Linked DNA regions of Tamandua tetradactyla. The protein of the gene in region 1 interacts with the protein of each later gene in a pairwise test. Links are inferred from orthologs where the notes say so. Each region holds a gene or a part of one and is shown in the gene's direction. Other genes may lie near its edges.

Region 1 (7,654 bases):
GGATCTCCAGCAAAAGCAAAACTCATACAGGCATTTATGGAAAGACATTTTACTCACATACAGAAGAGACAAAGCAAGGTCAGCTTCACAAGCTCCACAAAGTAAGGTCAGCTGGTTCCCCATAGCCAGCAGGTCTCAATCCATGGGCTAAGCAGGGTGCCGTTCTGAAAACAATATCCTTTTTCTTGTGTTTGTGTGCTGCCACAGTGGAGGAACTCCACCCCCTCCCCTCCAGAGACGGATATACCACCTGGATGTTAGCTGGATGTAGTAAAACATGCCCACCTGAAACATTTACATATGCTCAAAACAACAGGGGAAGAAATGTACTAGCAGTCCCCTTACCTACTAGGGATTTGTGTTTTATCCTGCCAGGCTGACATACTTGGTCCTGAGCACAGGATGTATTTGTGGGTCCCAGGGAAAGGCTGCAGGCTGGGATAGAACTGCCCCCTAATACACACACACACACACACACACACACACACACACGTACACATGTAATGACTTTCTACAAATTCAATGCACAGAAATTAAAATCCCAGGCAAAAGAACTTCCAGGAAAAAAAAATACCTAGCCTTGCCTCTTTATTTTGTAGAAAATAGGCCACCTATTTAACTTAGAGCAGTTACTGGTTATAAATAGAGCAACATTTATAAAAAAGCATTTATAACCACTTACTCTCCCCTGGGATTCTGTGTAGCCCAACGTCACAAAAGAGAAAGAAGCAATGAGCATACAATGGAAATAAATCCCAAATTTAGACCTCATATTTACGGTTCTTTAACTTACAGATCTAATAACAAAAAAGCTTAGTGGTATTTCAATATATGCTAGTGTTTTTATTCAGAAAACAATGTAAAACAAAACTTCATGATGTTCCTGTCATTGGTTTCCAAAGGGAATCCAGGTGCTCAGTAAGGAAAGGTCTATTAAATTTAAGTTGGCCCTGCCTGCATTTGAAGATGTACAACTTACCTCATACCATGGATAAATTCATGGTAGAACCAAGAAAGGGTTCTAAACGGAATTATCAATATAAGAATTGATAAAAATTATTAACTCTTCTATAATGCGTGTCAAGTATTCTCTTTAACCTCTCATTCCTGACAAAGACACTAATTTTCTCTCTTTTCAGCTTCTGAATAGGAAACTGCATTGTAATAAAGACATGATTTTTAAATCTCACCTCCTATTGGGGGAAGGAATTGAGTACAGAATCTTGTCTGGTCTTCTGTTCACTGGATGAAAAGAATACCTCACTAACAAAAGTTAAATTTGACGAAAAAAAAAAGGTATCACACTTCCTCAAATATAGTCCACCGAGTACTAAAAGTTTTCATTTTTTCCAATTACTTATCATACCCTTTACTACACAGGGTTTAATTTTCTAGTTTTTTCTTCCTTTTTTTTAACTTACCACACATGAAAGATTTCATAAGGTAAGCGACAGGTTTATAGCCTTTACAAATTCAGGAACTAAGATAACCTAGCTAAAATCAAAGCACAGATTAATAGAAAGTATGATCCCTTTGCGCTTTTTTAAACCATGTATCTTAGCTCCTAAATGTCTAAAACATGGGAGTTATTATGCATAAATATTTTTGCTAGTTATGATTAATAAAACTTGATTAATGATGGCTAGCATAGAGTGGGAGATGGGAAAATAACGGAATATGACAGAGGGGACGCTTGTCATATTTTCCCCTTGGTATTGTTAAAAATTTGTATTTTTTGCATATCTTTTTTGAAATTTAAAACAAATACCAAACAAGCTCAGGAACCACACTGAGAACCTATACCGCTAATGTGTTCAATCAGAAAACCTTTCCAGTAGAGGGCATGGTAGATTCAACCTGAAAAATGGATGGTTATGTCACTCTCAAGCTGCGGTTTAGCTGTGCAAACCTATTCCGCTGTTTCCACCGCAGAATGGAAAATGTGTCATGCTCATCTTGAGCAATCCCATTTACCTAAAAGTCATTATAACAACAAAAACAAACAAAAAAAGACGACAACAAGAAAAGGGACGTCATCAAATGTTGTAGCCTTTCCTTTAATTATAGTACTAAAGGTCTGCTAATCTTTTAAAAAGCCACTTTAAGGAGTACCTTTTTCACAAAAAGTTTACTCAGTCCGTAGCAGGTATTGCCTTAACTCTTAACATTTACATTCAGATTTATCAATCAACCACATAATTTTCAGGGAAAAATAAATTCTGCCATTTAACATCAGTTGTTAATTTGAAAAGGGTTTGTGAAAAAAGCAAATATATTAAACACTTACAGAACACTCAGGATAGTCTGTATTTAAACACCAGTTGTTTACATGCATACATGTATATTCACTTTTGTGACTATGTTGAGATGATTGAACCTCTGTGACTTGGAAATCTCTGATAAGTTGAAATGTTAATGCTTGCTTATTTTCCTGCCATATCGAGAGCACTTATTAAATAGCTATTGTGGTTAATAGTACAATCATAGTAATATTCTTTCATCAATTACAATAAAGGCACCACCCTAATGCAAGGTGATAATGTGGAGAAGGATATATGGGAATTCTGTATTTTCTGCATGAATTTTCTGTAAGCCTACAGCTTCTCAAAAAATTTAATTTAAAACTAACTGTTATAAATTTGATTCTGTACAAATCTCTATGACATTATCTTTCTATCTTAACAGTACTTAAGTATTTATAACCAAATTAGCTGAGTTAATTCTTTATTTTTCCACCATGAATAGCTATATCTCTGAACATTTCCTTTTCCACATATATACAAATTAATAACAAGTTTTGCTATAGCACTTTAGAATTTATAGAGGACTTTCACATAAGATTTGCATGATATCCTATGAGATTAGCAAGAAAGACACATTATTTTCCTTACAGATGAGTTGTTGCTGCTCAAGCAGATGGTGGAGTAACTGCCCCAACAGTTACTTGGTATTTATTGGTTAAGCTGAGAGTCCAGTTAGGTTTTCTAGCACCAAGTCAGCTCTCTCTCCCTGCTGCATCCTTGTTAGAAACCCTACTTTTCAACTGTCTATGAGTGAATTCTACTATTCTAGGTTCCAAGTGAAACAAATATTGAGGTTCATATTATCAAGAAAAGGCAAGTGAAAAAAGAAGAAATGTGAATTCTTTTAGAGCTGAAGGGAATACACTAGAGAAAAATGACATTCTCACATTTCATAAACATTTTATAGCATCTACTACCAAAATCTAACTGATTTTCCTTTCCATAATAGAGTACCTAACTGTTCTCTTTAGTAATGATTGCAGATTTTGCTTCCTCATCAAACATTGAGCTCTAAATACTGAAAAAAGCAAGGTCATTAGTTCCAATTTTCTTTTAACAGTTCTAATGCAAAGTTGGGAGAATATTTGCAGGCCAGCCAATAGCTTGCTGTTAATCTTACTGTGGAATTAGATGCTTGGTGGGAAAACCACTTGAATTTTCCAGTTACATTACAGTTCTGGCAATGCTGTTTTCCAAAATCAAATCATTCTGTGGCTGAGGTGATCTATTTCTCCTTGCTAATTAAGCTACTTTAAAGACTGCAGGAGTAGACAGAGATGAGTTTTTGAAGAACACATGAAACTTACTTAAGCAAACTATTAAATTTTCCTTCCTTTTTCTAATTAAGTGTTCTGGTAAATTCTAAGCCAACCAAAAATGACTCGTGGAAATTCTGCCTACTGGCGAACTTAAACTAGAATGATTCCGGAACATTCCAGCCTCCAGATCTCGATGGTTCCCTCTCTCTCAAGTCACCAAAAAGAGATCAGTGATTCCTGTTTTGGAAAGAGAGGAGGCCTGGGATTCCCTGAGGAATAACCCCGCAATCCCACGAACGTACCCAGCTGTGTCTAGTGGTAGAGCTCAGAATGCAAAAGCAATTTCAGCACTGTCATCTGATAGTCACTTTCTCCTGTTCCCTCCCTGTCTAATGTCCATTCCCCCAAATATTCCAAATGCCTAGGCAAGCTGTAAAACAAGTCACACCATATAAGCCCACGGGCCGTCAAGGTTTCAGGTTTCTCCTGTTCAGTTTCTTCCAGCAAATCAAGGAGAGGCACGAGCGAGAATCTCCCCGGCGCCCGGGTTTACTCCACAGATGGTCTCAGCTGAGTTGCTAGGGAAGTTGTGTAAACAACAAATGCGGCGCAGGCACAGGGCGCGCACTCAAACGAGGAAGAGAAACCTGTTAATTCAATACGAGGCAATGGCACTCTGGCTCGCAGCAAGCCACCTTTCCCTGCTGGGGAATCATCACTCCCGTTCTGGGGATGAGGAACACGTCGGGGGCGGGGGGTAAGGGACGGGGCAGCCCACCCGCACAGCCTCGGATCCCACCAGGTCGCCACCCCGAGCAAAGGTCGCCGGCGACCTGTCACAGGGCGAACTCTCGCCCCACCGCGGCCCCCGCCCAGCCGCCCATTTTGGCTCCACTGCGCACGAAGCCGGGGGCCGCCGACGTCAGCAGCGCCCCCGTTACGAGACCCTTCGCTGGCGGCCGTGACAGCCGCGAGCTCGCGCTGGCCCCGCCCTGTGCCCGTCAGGCGGCCAATCCGCGCCCCCTGGGGGCGGGGCGGGCGCCGGGAGGTTCCGTCCCTTCGCCTCTGCCTCTCATAAATACTGCGGCGCGCGGCCGAGCGCAGGCTGTTGGCTCGAGAGGACGATAATGCAAAGTGCTATGTTCTTGGCCGTCCAGCACGACTGCAGACCTATGGACAAAAACGCTGGCAGCGGCCCCAAGAGCGAAGAGAAGCGGGAGAAGATGAAGCGGACCCTGTAAGTACCGCGTTCTCCTTTCCCCCACCAGCTCCCACCCTGCGGGGCTCGTTCTCCCGGTTTGTGCAAATGCAGTAGAATGGTTTCGGCTTTGACTGTAGGAAACGATATCGCCTGCGTCTCTGCAGAAACAAAAATTGTGGAAAGGTTCATTGGCCAAATTAAGGCTAAATCTGTATTTGGGGGTATATAGTTATTTTGTTGCATGAGCGACGGATGACCAGGTAGTTGGTAGACGCCAGGAAATCGCGGCTTATTTTGTCTTTCTTGTTTTTGGCCCCTGCATTTAAAATGACATCAGAGATTAAATGTCAGCTGCGGCCGAAGCGCGTCCCCAACATTGAGTACTGATCAGCTTATGCAGCTGATGCTGGTTCTGAATATACTCCTTTTAAAGCTATTATTGCCTTTTAATTGAAGAGTAGACCTAACCCACTCACGACTGTGTAACAAACGATTGTTCTGTAGCATCTGCTTAAAATCGGTGCTGTAGTTGAGCAGAGACGAGAGAGAGAAATCACGCACACCTCTTTGTACGCAGCCTTTGGCTTACTTTGGGAATCTCCTGCTTTAAAAGTGGAAGGAAAATAAGTGGGTCTGTTAAAGGCAGTTCCTCTGTTGTTTTCATCAAGGGTGAAATGTCCTAGAGTTGTACCTAGCTTTGCAAAGAAACGGCCTGCCTTTTGCCGGCCAGAAGTAGCACCTGCCCTTTGAAGTACAAGAAATAATTCATTAAAATACCTGGGGACTTTAAGTGATTTAAGGTAGTCCTTCCTTTACTTATAAGACTGTTATGTTCAGATTGATGGATGAAACTGGATTTAACATTAAATGGGTAAAATTTGTCTCACTTGGAGAGAAATTACTTGGTTTTATTTGGCTTGTCTGTAGCTACTGGATGACTTTGGTAGAAATACATTCAGCTGCAGTAGCATTTTCAAGGGTTGCCTCTTAGTGAGTAACCTGGGTTTTGTTTTTGTTTTTTTAAGTTTAAAAGATTGGAAGACCCGTTTGAGCTACTTCTTGCAAAATTCCTCTACTCCTGGGAAGCCCAAAATTGGGAAGAAGAGCAAACAGCAAACTCTTATTAAGTAAGTAAAAAAAATCCTATACTTACAAATACGAATCTGTAGATGCTGGACTGAAAAGAGGAACTCTGATATACACAAGCTAATGTGCAGCGCTTGTCTTGCAGGCCTTCTCCAGAGGAAGCACAGCTGTGGTCAGAAGCATTCGATGAGCTGCTAGCCAGTAAATGTAAGTTAACTTCTTATATTTGATCCATTTCAAGTGTCACAGGAGTCTAGGAAGGTAGTGTCCACTCAACAGAACAGCAGTTTGTCTGATGGGAGTTAGACTGTACAATCACTGTAGCATAAGGCCAATTTTATTCTCATTTCCTATTTTCCGATGTTTCCAGGGTTAAACCATGTTTAACCATATATTCAGTCAAGATGGAGGGAAAATTAGCCTAAAAAAAATTAAAGTGGCAGTTACTCTTAGTTTAAGGGTGAGTCAGCTTTTCCATTGCAGACAATATTTTCTAACAGCTTAGTTCCCAGAGAATTATGGCTCTCCTGTAAGTATTTATTTTGCATTGATAGCAAAGTTAAGTTTTTGTATTTTTATAGCAGTGTGCCACCATAAACAGTTTGCTTGCTGGCATCTTAGCCTTTAAATTAAAGAGCTAAATCTGAGGATTACAAGTTTGAGTGAAATCTAGAAAATTACTATCATCTAGAAGTAATTAAAATATGGGGGGAGGGGAAGTACTACAAATAAAAAAATAAGAGATTATTTGGTCACTCTTTTTTTTCACATTGTGCATGCTTTTTTTTCCCTTCAGATGGTCTTGCTGCATTCAGGGCTTTTTTAAAATCTGAATTCTGTGAAGAAAATATTGAGTTCTGGCTGGCCTGTGAAGACTTCAAAAAAACCAAGTCACCCCAAAAGCTGTCCTCAAAAGCAAGGAAAATATATACTGACTTCATAGAAAAGGAAGCTCCAAAAGAGGTAAAAAAAAATTTAAAAAAATTCCTCCTTCACTAATACAGTGAAAAATATTTTTTAAATCTTTAGCACCAAAGTGAAATCATAACCAAAGGGATGTCAAAAGGATGGGGAGTGATGGTAGGAGGAATCCATCCCCTCCTCCCCATCCTAGTTTTCACTGAAGTTTCTCCAAAGACTGCCTGGGGGAAGCTAATCAGACATTATAGTTTGGGGTTTTAGTTTGTTTTGTTTTTTACAAATACTAAATAGATTTCCATATCTCTAACTCTGAGTATTAACTAAACCAATTTTCTGTTTTATTTCAGATAAACATAGACTTTCAAACCAAAACATTGATTGCTCAAAATATACAAGAGGCTACAAGTGGCTGCTTTACAACTGCCCAGAAAAGGGTATACAGCTTGATGGAGAACAACTCTTATCCCCGTTTCTTGGAATCAGAATTCTACCAAGACTTGTGTAAAAAGCCACAGATCACTACAGAGCCCCATGCAACATGAGATGAAAAAGGGGGCCAAAAAATGGAGAACTTTGCATTATTTTTCCTAAGGGGAAAGGCTGTGATCTGCTCAAAACCCCAACGACTGACCTTGGATTCAGCCTGGGTGTTTAGGAAACATCACTCAGAACTATTGATTCACAGTTGGGTAGTAAATGAGGAAGCTCGTAACAGTGTAGGAGAAGCTTGCATTGAAATGACTTCCCTCACTGTGCATAGAACACAGAGGGAATATGTGCTCTGAATCTGGTGCATCTCCCACTGGAAATGCAGGGATGTGAAGTGAAAGATACCATATGATATAGTTGATCCAGAAGCACTTAAAATCAATAGGTCTGGGATT
Region 2 (7,662 bases), on another chromosome or scaffold:
CGTCTCTGGGCCTTCTTCCCTTTTTATGGAAAGCCACCTCAGAGGGCCCTGAGGACACAATTAAATGATAGGTGAAAACACAAGGAAAATACCCAGCATGTGCGTTGCATTCCTGTAGGATCCGACCACTTCCTTGCCGTTGTTCTCCTGGCATTCCAGGCTGGGGTGCAGGCGGAAACGTCAGGGGGGATGTGGGCAGGATAAAGCTGAAATTAATCCCTCAGCTTCTCCTCACTAATACTAAAAATGAACAGCTTCTGAGCGTTTACTACAGGCCAGACACTGTTCTAAAGCATTTTAGCCCATAATAGTGGGTTCTACAGACAAGGAAGCAGAAACACAGACTCAAGCCCAATCAGGTGGCAAGTGAAGCCCCCGGTGCCCACCCTGACCCCTGAGCCACTGTCCTGTACAGTGCATCTGTCCCCCCACCAGACACGACTTTTTAAAAATATATATTTTTGTTGGGAAATCCTCATACACATACATTCCATACGTGGTGTAGAATCAGTGGCTCACAAAATCATCACATAGTTGTGTATTCATCACTATGATTATTTTTTAGAATATTTGCATCACTCCAGAAAAAGAAATAAAAAGAAAAAAACTCATACATACCATACCCCTTACCCCACCCTCTCATTGACTACTAGCATTTCCATCTACTCAATTTATTTTACCCCTTGTCCCTTCCTATTATTTATTTATTTATTTATTATCCATATTTTTTACTCATCTGTCCATACCCTGGATCAAAGGAACTTCAGACATGACTTTCACAATCACGCAGTCATATTGTAAATGTTGTATTTTTATACAATCGTCTTCAAGAATCAAGGTTACTGGAACACAGCTCTACAGTTTCAGGTACTTCCCTCCAGCCACCCCAATACACCATAAACTAAAAAGGGGATATATATACATAATGCACAAGAAAAAACTCTAGGATGACCTCTCAACTCTGTTTGAAATCTCTCAGCCACTGAAACTATATTTTGTCTCATCTCTCTCTTCCCTCTTTTGGTCAAGAAGGCTTTTTCAATCCCTTGATGCTGGTCCCAACTCATCCCAGGATATCTGTCCCACTTTGCCAGGGAGATTTACACCCCTGGGAGTCATGTCCCATGTAGGGGGGAGGGCAGTGAGTTCACATGCTGAGTTGACTTAGAGAGAGAGAGACCACTTCTGAGCAACAAAAGAGGTTCTCTGGGGGTGACTCCTACGCCTTACTTTTAGTAGGCTTAGCCTATCCTTTGCAGGAAAAAGAGAAACGACTTTTAAAATAACAAAATCTAATCCCGTCATTTCTCATCTCAAAACAGCAGGACTTCTCACCTTCAGAATAAGCCAAACTACCAGCAAGAGAGTCCACTACCTGCCTTTCTGGGCTTACTTGCCAGAAGAGAACCCCTTCTTACAGTCCCAACAGCATTTTCAAATAACCACACTCAGGTCTTCTTGCCCATCTTCCCTCGGCTTCCTCAGCCGGAAACGTCCTTCCCTCATCTCTGCAAATTCTTAGCCTGATTTAAGGCCTAGATCAAGCGCCAACTCTTCCTGAGTTCTCTGTCCTCAGGAGGACCTGGTCTGGCCCTTCCCCCCGCCCCCCACCCCCACAGCCTCTTCCAGCTCCTTCTCCAGTGCAATCCTGCACTTCTACCTGTCCCCCTCCTAGACTGGAAAGGGGCAGAGGGCAGGGAGTGGGTCATATTCCTCAATGAATCTTTCAAAGCTTTGACCATCACAGCCCCGCCCTAGACAAACCCTTAATAATAACTGTGGAATGAACTGGGGAGTGGAACTCAGAAGGCCTGAGAGACACATCAGAAAGCTACAGAGGGAGAGCATGCTGCAGGAGCTTGGAAGGTGGCTTCCATCCAATGGACCTGCACTTCGCAGATGTTGTGTCACTTCCTCATCCCAGCAGACCACCGGGGCAAGGATTATTATCTCTACATTACTAGGGAGGGCACTGGGACCCGGTACAACTCAGCCAAGATCTGCTAGATGGTGAGGGGCAATTTCAAACCTCACCTCTCAGATTGCAAGGCAGTGCCTTCTCCCCTCCCCATTTGGTCCTCTCATTCTTGTCACCTGCTCCTGAGAGGCATTTGGTCTCTGCCTCCATGCCTCACTCCCTCCAGACCTCATCAGAGTCACATTTGGCTTTGGGGAGCATATTTTTCCAGACCAAGAATTGGACTGCGTTGTCCAACGATGACATTTGTCCTTAAGTCAGAGTATGTTTGAAATCAGGCTTGTTCTTGAAAATGGGGGATGCCTTTCACGGAACCAAGCAGGTTGTCGCCCAAGGACCACCACCAGTTAGTTCTCATCTCTGTGCTCCCACTTTAAAGTGTGGCTGTCCCCCTCTGGTCTGGATTCTCTCTCCTCCTCAGGAGGGCCCCCCACTGCATAAGCGCTCAGCTGCAAAGTTGCTTTCTCCCCACTCTGCCGCCCTCCGTGTCCCTTTGTCTGGGGTCTCTTTGTCTGGGGTCTCCCTTTGGTTGGTTTCACAGTCCTCTGCTTCCCCTCCCTTTCTCCGGGCCAGGCTGCTCCCTCCCTCTCTGCGGGGGCTGAGGGGAGCGGGGCTGCGTTGTCATGGTCACGGTGAAGCCAGCCGCAGCTGGCCAGGGCAGCTGCTCCAGGGCACCCGGCCCGGACGGGCGGACAAAGCCAGGCAGCCTCGGCAGCCCCAGACCTGGAACTCCAAAGGTGTAAGGCTGGGGGGGGGCCCGGACCCGGGAGAACCTAGTGCTGGAGGTAAGAGGGAGGAAAGCAGAGCTGAGTTGGGAGGGCAGGCCTGGGCACGGGAGCTGGGCCCTCCCCTTGTGGGGAGGGGCCAGGCGGTCCGGCTGGAAGGAGAGTGGGAGGAGGGGAGCAGGCTGAGAGCGGGAAGGATGGGGAGCAGAGCTGGGGCAGGCTAGGATGGCCCCAAGGGGAGGGCTGGGACCTCTGCGTCCTGAACCACAGAAATGAGGTTTGACTAAGTCTCTGGGCCTCGGTCTTGCCTCCTCTGTTGCGCAGTTGTCCCCATAGCCCTTAGTTTCAGCCCTTGTGCCTCAACCTTCTGTTTCTTTCCCCAGTCTCTCAGTTTGACTCCAACGTCCTCTTCCCTCCCTTTGTCTTTGCTTCTCCTGCCCTGTGGTCTCTCTCCACCCCTCTCACTGCTCCTGTTTCCCACGGTCCTCTCCGAGGACCTCTGTCTGCTCTGCAGTTCACTCACCAGGGCCACACCTCAAGGCTCTCCCTTGAGTCCTGAAGTCTTCCCACCCTAGGTGGCCCCTGCCTCTATCCTCTTCCTCTTTACACCCAGTTTCCCTCAGCCTCGACCTCAGTCTATCTCCTGCCTCTCTCTGAGTTTGGTCACCACTATCCCCATCTGACCATAAGCCTCCCTCCTCCTTCTGGTCCCCTGTTTCTGCTCTCTCCCTTGCCCAGGCTCTCCACAGCTGAGCCCTGTCTCATGTTTCCCCTGGACCAATGTCATCTCTTTCTCCTCCTTCTACTCCTGGACCTCAGTTTCCCATATGTACTGGGAGCCACCAAGCTCTGACTCATGCCCGGGCCTTGTTCACTCTCACTGCACCCCCACCCCCTACCCTCAGCAGCTTCTCCCTCTCCCCAGCTGCTGACCCAGCCTGCTCCCTCCAGAGGCAGCTGCATCTCCAGGAAGGTAGCCTCTGGGGGCCCACCTGGGCCATCCTCCCTCTCACTGGTCCTGTGGGTTTCCTGCAGTGGCCCGGTGGTCTGCAGGCCGGAAGCCGCTCTCTCCTATGTGCCTCTCCTCACATTTTTTCAGCTGTTTCCCCTCCTCTCCTTCCCCGGGCCCCAGGAGGCCACTGACTGGAGAGGGAAGCCCTGGAGGGAAGCCCTGGAGGAGAAGGCATGGGGAAATGGGTAGAGGGTCCTTTTGGGGATTCAGGAAGACACGGGGGCCTCTAGGGGTGGGGAGGGGCCTCTAGGGGTGGGGAGTGATGCAGGACGTGGGATGGGCTCTGCAGGGGCACAGGCAGGTGGGTGGGTATTCTTGGTCTTTGGTGCTGCTCTGGGGGCCCCTGCATGGCTGGGATTTCCCTCCTTGGCCCCTGGGAATCTCAGCTCCGAGCCCACATTCCAGCCGGCTCCAGCCTCCTGTCCACTGTCACTTGACTCCGCAGGGTCCCAGCCCTGCATACTTCCCCACTCTTCCAGCCCTGGGTTGGGGCGAGGTGGGCATCACCCACTAGGAATTTCTCCTGGGGGAGTAGGGAGAGGGTGTTCAGGACTCTCTGGCTTCCTCCAGTCTCCCCAGCGGAACCTGCTGTCTGGCACCACCATGCCACCTGGCCCGGTCAGCGCCAGGCCTGGGGTTTAGAATGTCTCACTGGGGTGTGAGGGGCGCCTACTCCATTCCAGCTTAGCCCTGCCAGCCTGCCCCGGCCTCCCCAGAGTACAGCCCTGGTAGGAGGGACTGTGGTCTGCCCAGGTGAGGTTACTTGGGAAGCTGGGCTCCACCCCTCCCCCAGCTCCACCCCTGGCCCTGCCTCTCCAGGGCCCAGATTCCCCAGCGGCTGTCTCCGGAGGGGTGAGAACTCTGGGTGGGGAACCCTAGGGGTCCGGTGGGAGGGAAAGGCCGGACAAGGGACTTGTCTCAGTGACCACCGGGCTCTCTGCTCGCAGATGTCCCTTAACAGTCGGGGCGTCCTTGGGTTTATGTGTTCAACGTGGGAGTGTCCCTATGTGCCATGGCCTCTCCCAATGGCCAGCCTCTTCCTGGTGGTGTTGCTGTGTACTTATCTGGTCGGGACGTTGTGTTTCTTTCCTGGGACTGCTGTCTGGGACAGCACAAAGCTCATATCTGCTGGGAGGTATCAAGGGACAGAGCTCTCTACTGGATGGTGACATCGGCTAGTTGCCTGGCAGATGTGGGCCTGTGGAGAGAGAAGGTGCGGCCCCAGGGAGGGCTTAGGGTGCAATGCCTTCGCCCCACAAGCTCTGTCTTCATATCTCACCCCATTTGTTTGGTTTCTCTCTCTCATTTCATTTGTTGACCCTGTCTACTTGCACCCATCTTCTCTGGCTCCCTTCTTCCCTCTCCTGTCCACTGTGTCTGATTCCCATGGTGCCTCTATCCTCCCCCTCCCCACCTGGTCCCTTGGTGGAGGACTTCTAGCCAGTCCCTGCCAGGGACCAGACCCTCGGGTCCCCTCCAGGGCCAGAGCTGGCTACACCTGAGGAGTCTGGACAGAGGCTACCCTGAGAGGACAGAAATGCCCTGCAGAGAAGGGGAGAGGAACTGGAAGAGAGTGGGTGGGCAGTCCCAGGTTGGGGTGCAGGGCAGCAGATTGGTGGTGTGAAAAGAGTGGGTTCAGGGGGCCTGGCTGGCCACGTGAGCCCTGCACCCTTCCCCCCCCCCCCAAACTCCTGCTGCCACGCTGAGTCGGGCCTGTGAGAACCTGCTCCTTCTCCTGTTCCCTGGAGCTGCTCCCCTTTACCTTCCTCCCCAAGAACTGAGCCCAGAGAGAGGGAGAAGGGGGAGCAGGGGAGGGGAGCGATCTCCCTCCAGAGGCCTGAAGGTGCCCGGGCCTGGAGGTCCGGATCAGGGTTCAGTTCGGCCCCCTGGGGTCTCAGCTTTGATAGTTTTCATTTGTGGGGGACACTGGGGCGGGGACGGGGTGGTAGGCTCTGGTGGGAGGCGATGGGCAGGGAGCCGGCAGGAGGACACCGCGCTGAGAGGCTGGGCTGCCTGGGAGAGGGCGGGGGGCGGGGGGGAGGTGGGGAGGGACTGCAGCGCTGAGCAGGGGACCGCACGGTGGTTACCTGGGGAAGGCCGCGGCACGCGGGGGAATGCGGGGTGGGCGTGGCGGAGCGCAGAGGAGCGCGGGCCGCGAAGGCGGCGCCAGGCTTGGGAGCCGCGGGAACCAAGGTGGAAGGGAGGGCAGCGAGCCCGACGCGCCGCGAGAAGGCAGAGGGGAGGGAGCGGGGTGGGGGCGGCGAGGAGGAGGAGAAGGGGAGGGGGAACCGTGGCGGAGGTGGGGGGGGAGCTGGGGGGCGGCGCCTGGGCTCGAGCCGCCCCAGCCTTGGCTCCTCTCCCCGGAACAGGCCCCCCGACAGCTGCTCTTGGGAGCCGCCTCCCGACACCCGAGCCCCGCCGGCGCCTCCCGCTCCTGGCTCCCGGCTCCCGGCTCCCGGCTCCCTCCGCCTCCCCCAACCCCTCCCCTCGGCCCAGCCGCCGAGGAGGCCCCGCTCCCGGGGTCGGACGCCTGGGTCTGCGGGAAGAGCGATGAGAGGTAGGGGGAGCGGAGGGAGGACCCCGGCCGGGGCGCCGGGTAGCCAAGGCCGGAGGCCTGGGGCTCCTGGGGAGGCGGGATGTTTGGGGGCTGTCCTTGCTTGTTCAGCTTCTAAGTCTGTCCCTCCCGGCCTCCCCAACGCTCGGCTTGCTGTCTGAAAATGGGGAGGGGAGGAGCCTCCCGATCTCAGAGGAAGAGGGTGTTCCGGCATTGAGGAACCGACCCAGGACAGGTGCTCAGACTAGCCCCACTGAGGTAACCTCATCTGCCCCCTAGAGCACGGGGCCTGCCCTCCCTCCTGGCCAGGAGACAACTACTAAATGTGAAGCCCCCACTCCATGCACTCCCAGCTGGAAAGCCTGGCCTCAGCCCAGCAGAGAGAGGGACTTAACACCCCCGCAGCCCGTGATGGCCACTCAGCCTTGCTGGATGGTCATTTGCTTCTGCCATGAGCCGACCTCATCGCCCTACAGGCACCACCCTCAGCACTGGCCTCAGGGTCCCTCCCTACCTCACCAATTCCCCATCTCCCCCAGCTCCCCTGCTGGGTGGACATTCCTGCCCAGCTCTTCAGCCCCATCTGACATGTGCTTGGGGATGTAGGGGTGCCCAGATGAAGTGACGGAGGGGAGACAGGTGGAAGCAGACGTGTGCATGAAAGTGGAGAAATGGCTCTTCTTCCCCACAAGTTTCTGCCGGTTCTCTACCCCTTGGCTTTCCCCTGCTTGGTCAGCCTAGTGCACTGGGGGCAGGCCCCAGTTCTCATGGAATCTCTGCCCTATGGCCGCAAGAGCTCTGGGTGCCCCATTTCATGTTCACAGGTGTCTGAAGATGACTGTTCATTGAGCGGATGTGAAAGCACGTGGAAGTCTGGATGGCGTTGGGGTGTGTGTGAGAGTTTGTGAGCCCTGACTGGGAGTCTGTGTGTGTTATTGATTTATGTGTGTGTCACTTGCCAGTGTCCATCTCTGAGAGTCTCTTAGGGGTTGTCTGTGAGACACTGAGCGTTTGTGTGTGTGTGTGCGCGCGCGCGCGTGTTCACGCAAGCGTCTGGCCTCTCTGGAGCTACATTTAGCCTGAGTGTTTACAGCGGGCTCTGTGAGCGCCTGTGTCTGACCACGTGCATCTATACAGAGCTCTGTGGGTGTCTTGTCTGGTGTGGGGGGGTGGGGGTGGGAGAAAAGGGTGCAGGGCCTGCCTCTGGGTGTCCCAGCTGCTGGCCTGTAATTGGTTGCAGTGGGGTGGGGTGGGGCTTCGGGCCTGTCCTCCTGTGTCTGTTTAGACCCAGGGGAGGGAGATGGGGTGTTTGGGGGTGTTAGTAATGGATCGCCCCAGATGTCCCTGTGAGTTTCTCTGCTGGGCTCTGTGCCCTGGGTTTCTGAGCCTGTTC

The links. The genes of interacting proteins can lie anywhere in the genome.
Region 2: the proteins of RGS2 (region 1) and DDR1 interact in a two-hybrid assay, tested with the Homo sapiens proteins (2 studies listed by BioGRID and IntAct). The link is inferred for Tamandua tetradactyla from reciprocal best matches to the Homo sapiens genes RGS2 and DDR1.

What each region holds. Positions count from the first base shown.
Region 1 is NC_135330.1:48,612,721-48,620,374, forward strand, and holds the start of RGS2 (regulator of G-protein signaling 2), read left to right. Parts: upstream 1-4,644; 5' UTR 4,645-4,689; coding exon 4,690-4,799; intron 4,800-5,788; coding exon 5,789-5,890; intron 5,891-5,994; coding exon 5,995-6,056; intron 6,057-6,645; coding exon 6,646-6,812; intron 6,813-7,117; coding exon 7,118-7,312; 3' UTR 7,313-7,654. UniProt on the Homo sapiens protein: Regulates G protein-coupled receptor signaling cascades. Inhibits signal transduction by increasing the GTPase activity of G protein alpha subunits, thereby driving them into their inactive GDP-bound form.
Region 2 is NC_135331.1:85,815,137-85,822,798, forward strand, and holds the start of DDR1 (epithelial discoidin domain-containing receptor 1), read left to right. Parts: upstream 1-4,651; 5' UTR 4,652-4,727; coding exon 4,728-4,928; intron 4,929-6,084; exon of another isoform or gene 6,085-6,272; intron 6,273-6,429; exon of another isoform or gene 6,430-6,527; intron 6,528-7,594; exon of another isoform or gene 7,595-7,615; intron 7,616-7,662. UniProt on the Homo sapiens protein: Tyrosine kinase that functions as a cell surface receptor for fibrillar collagen and regulates cell attachment to the extracellular matrix, remodeling of the extracellular matrix, cell migration, differentiation, survival and cell proliferation.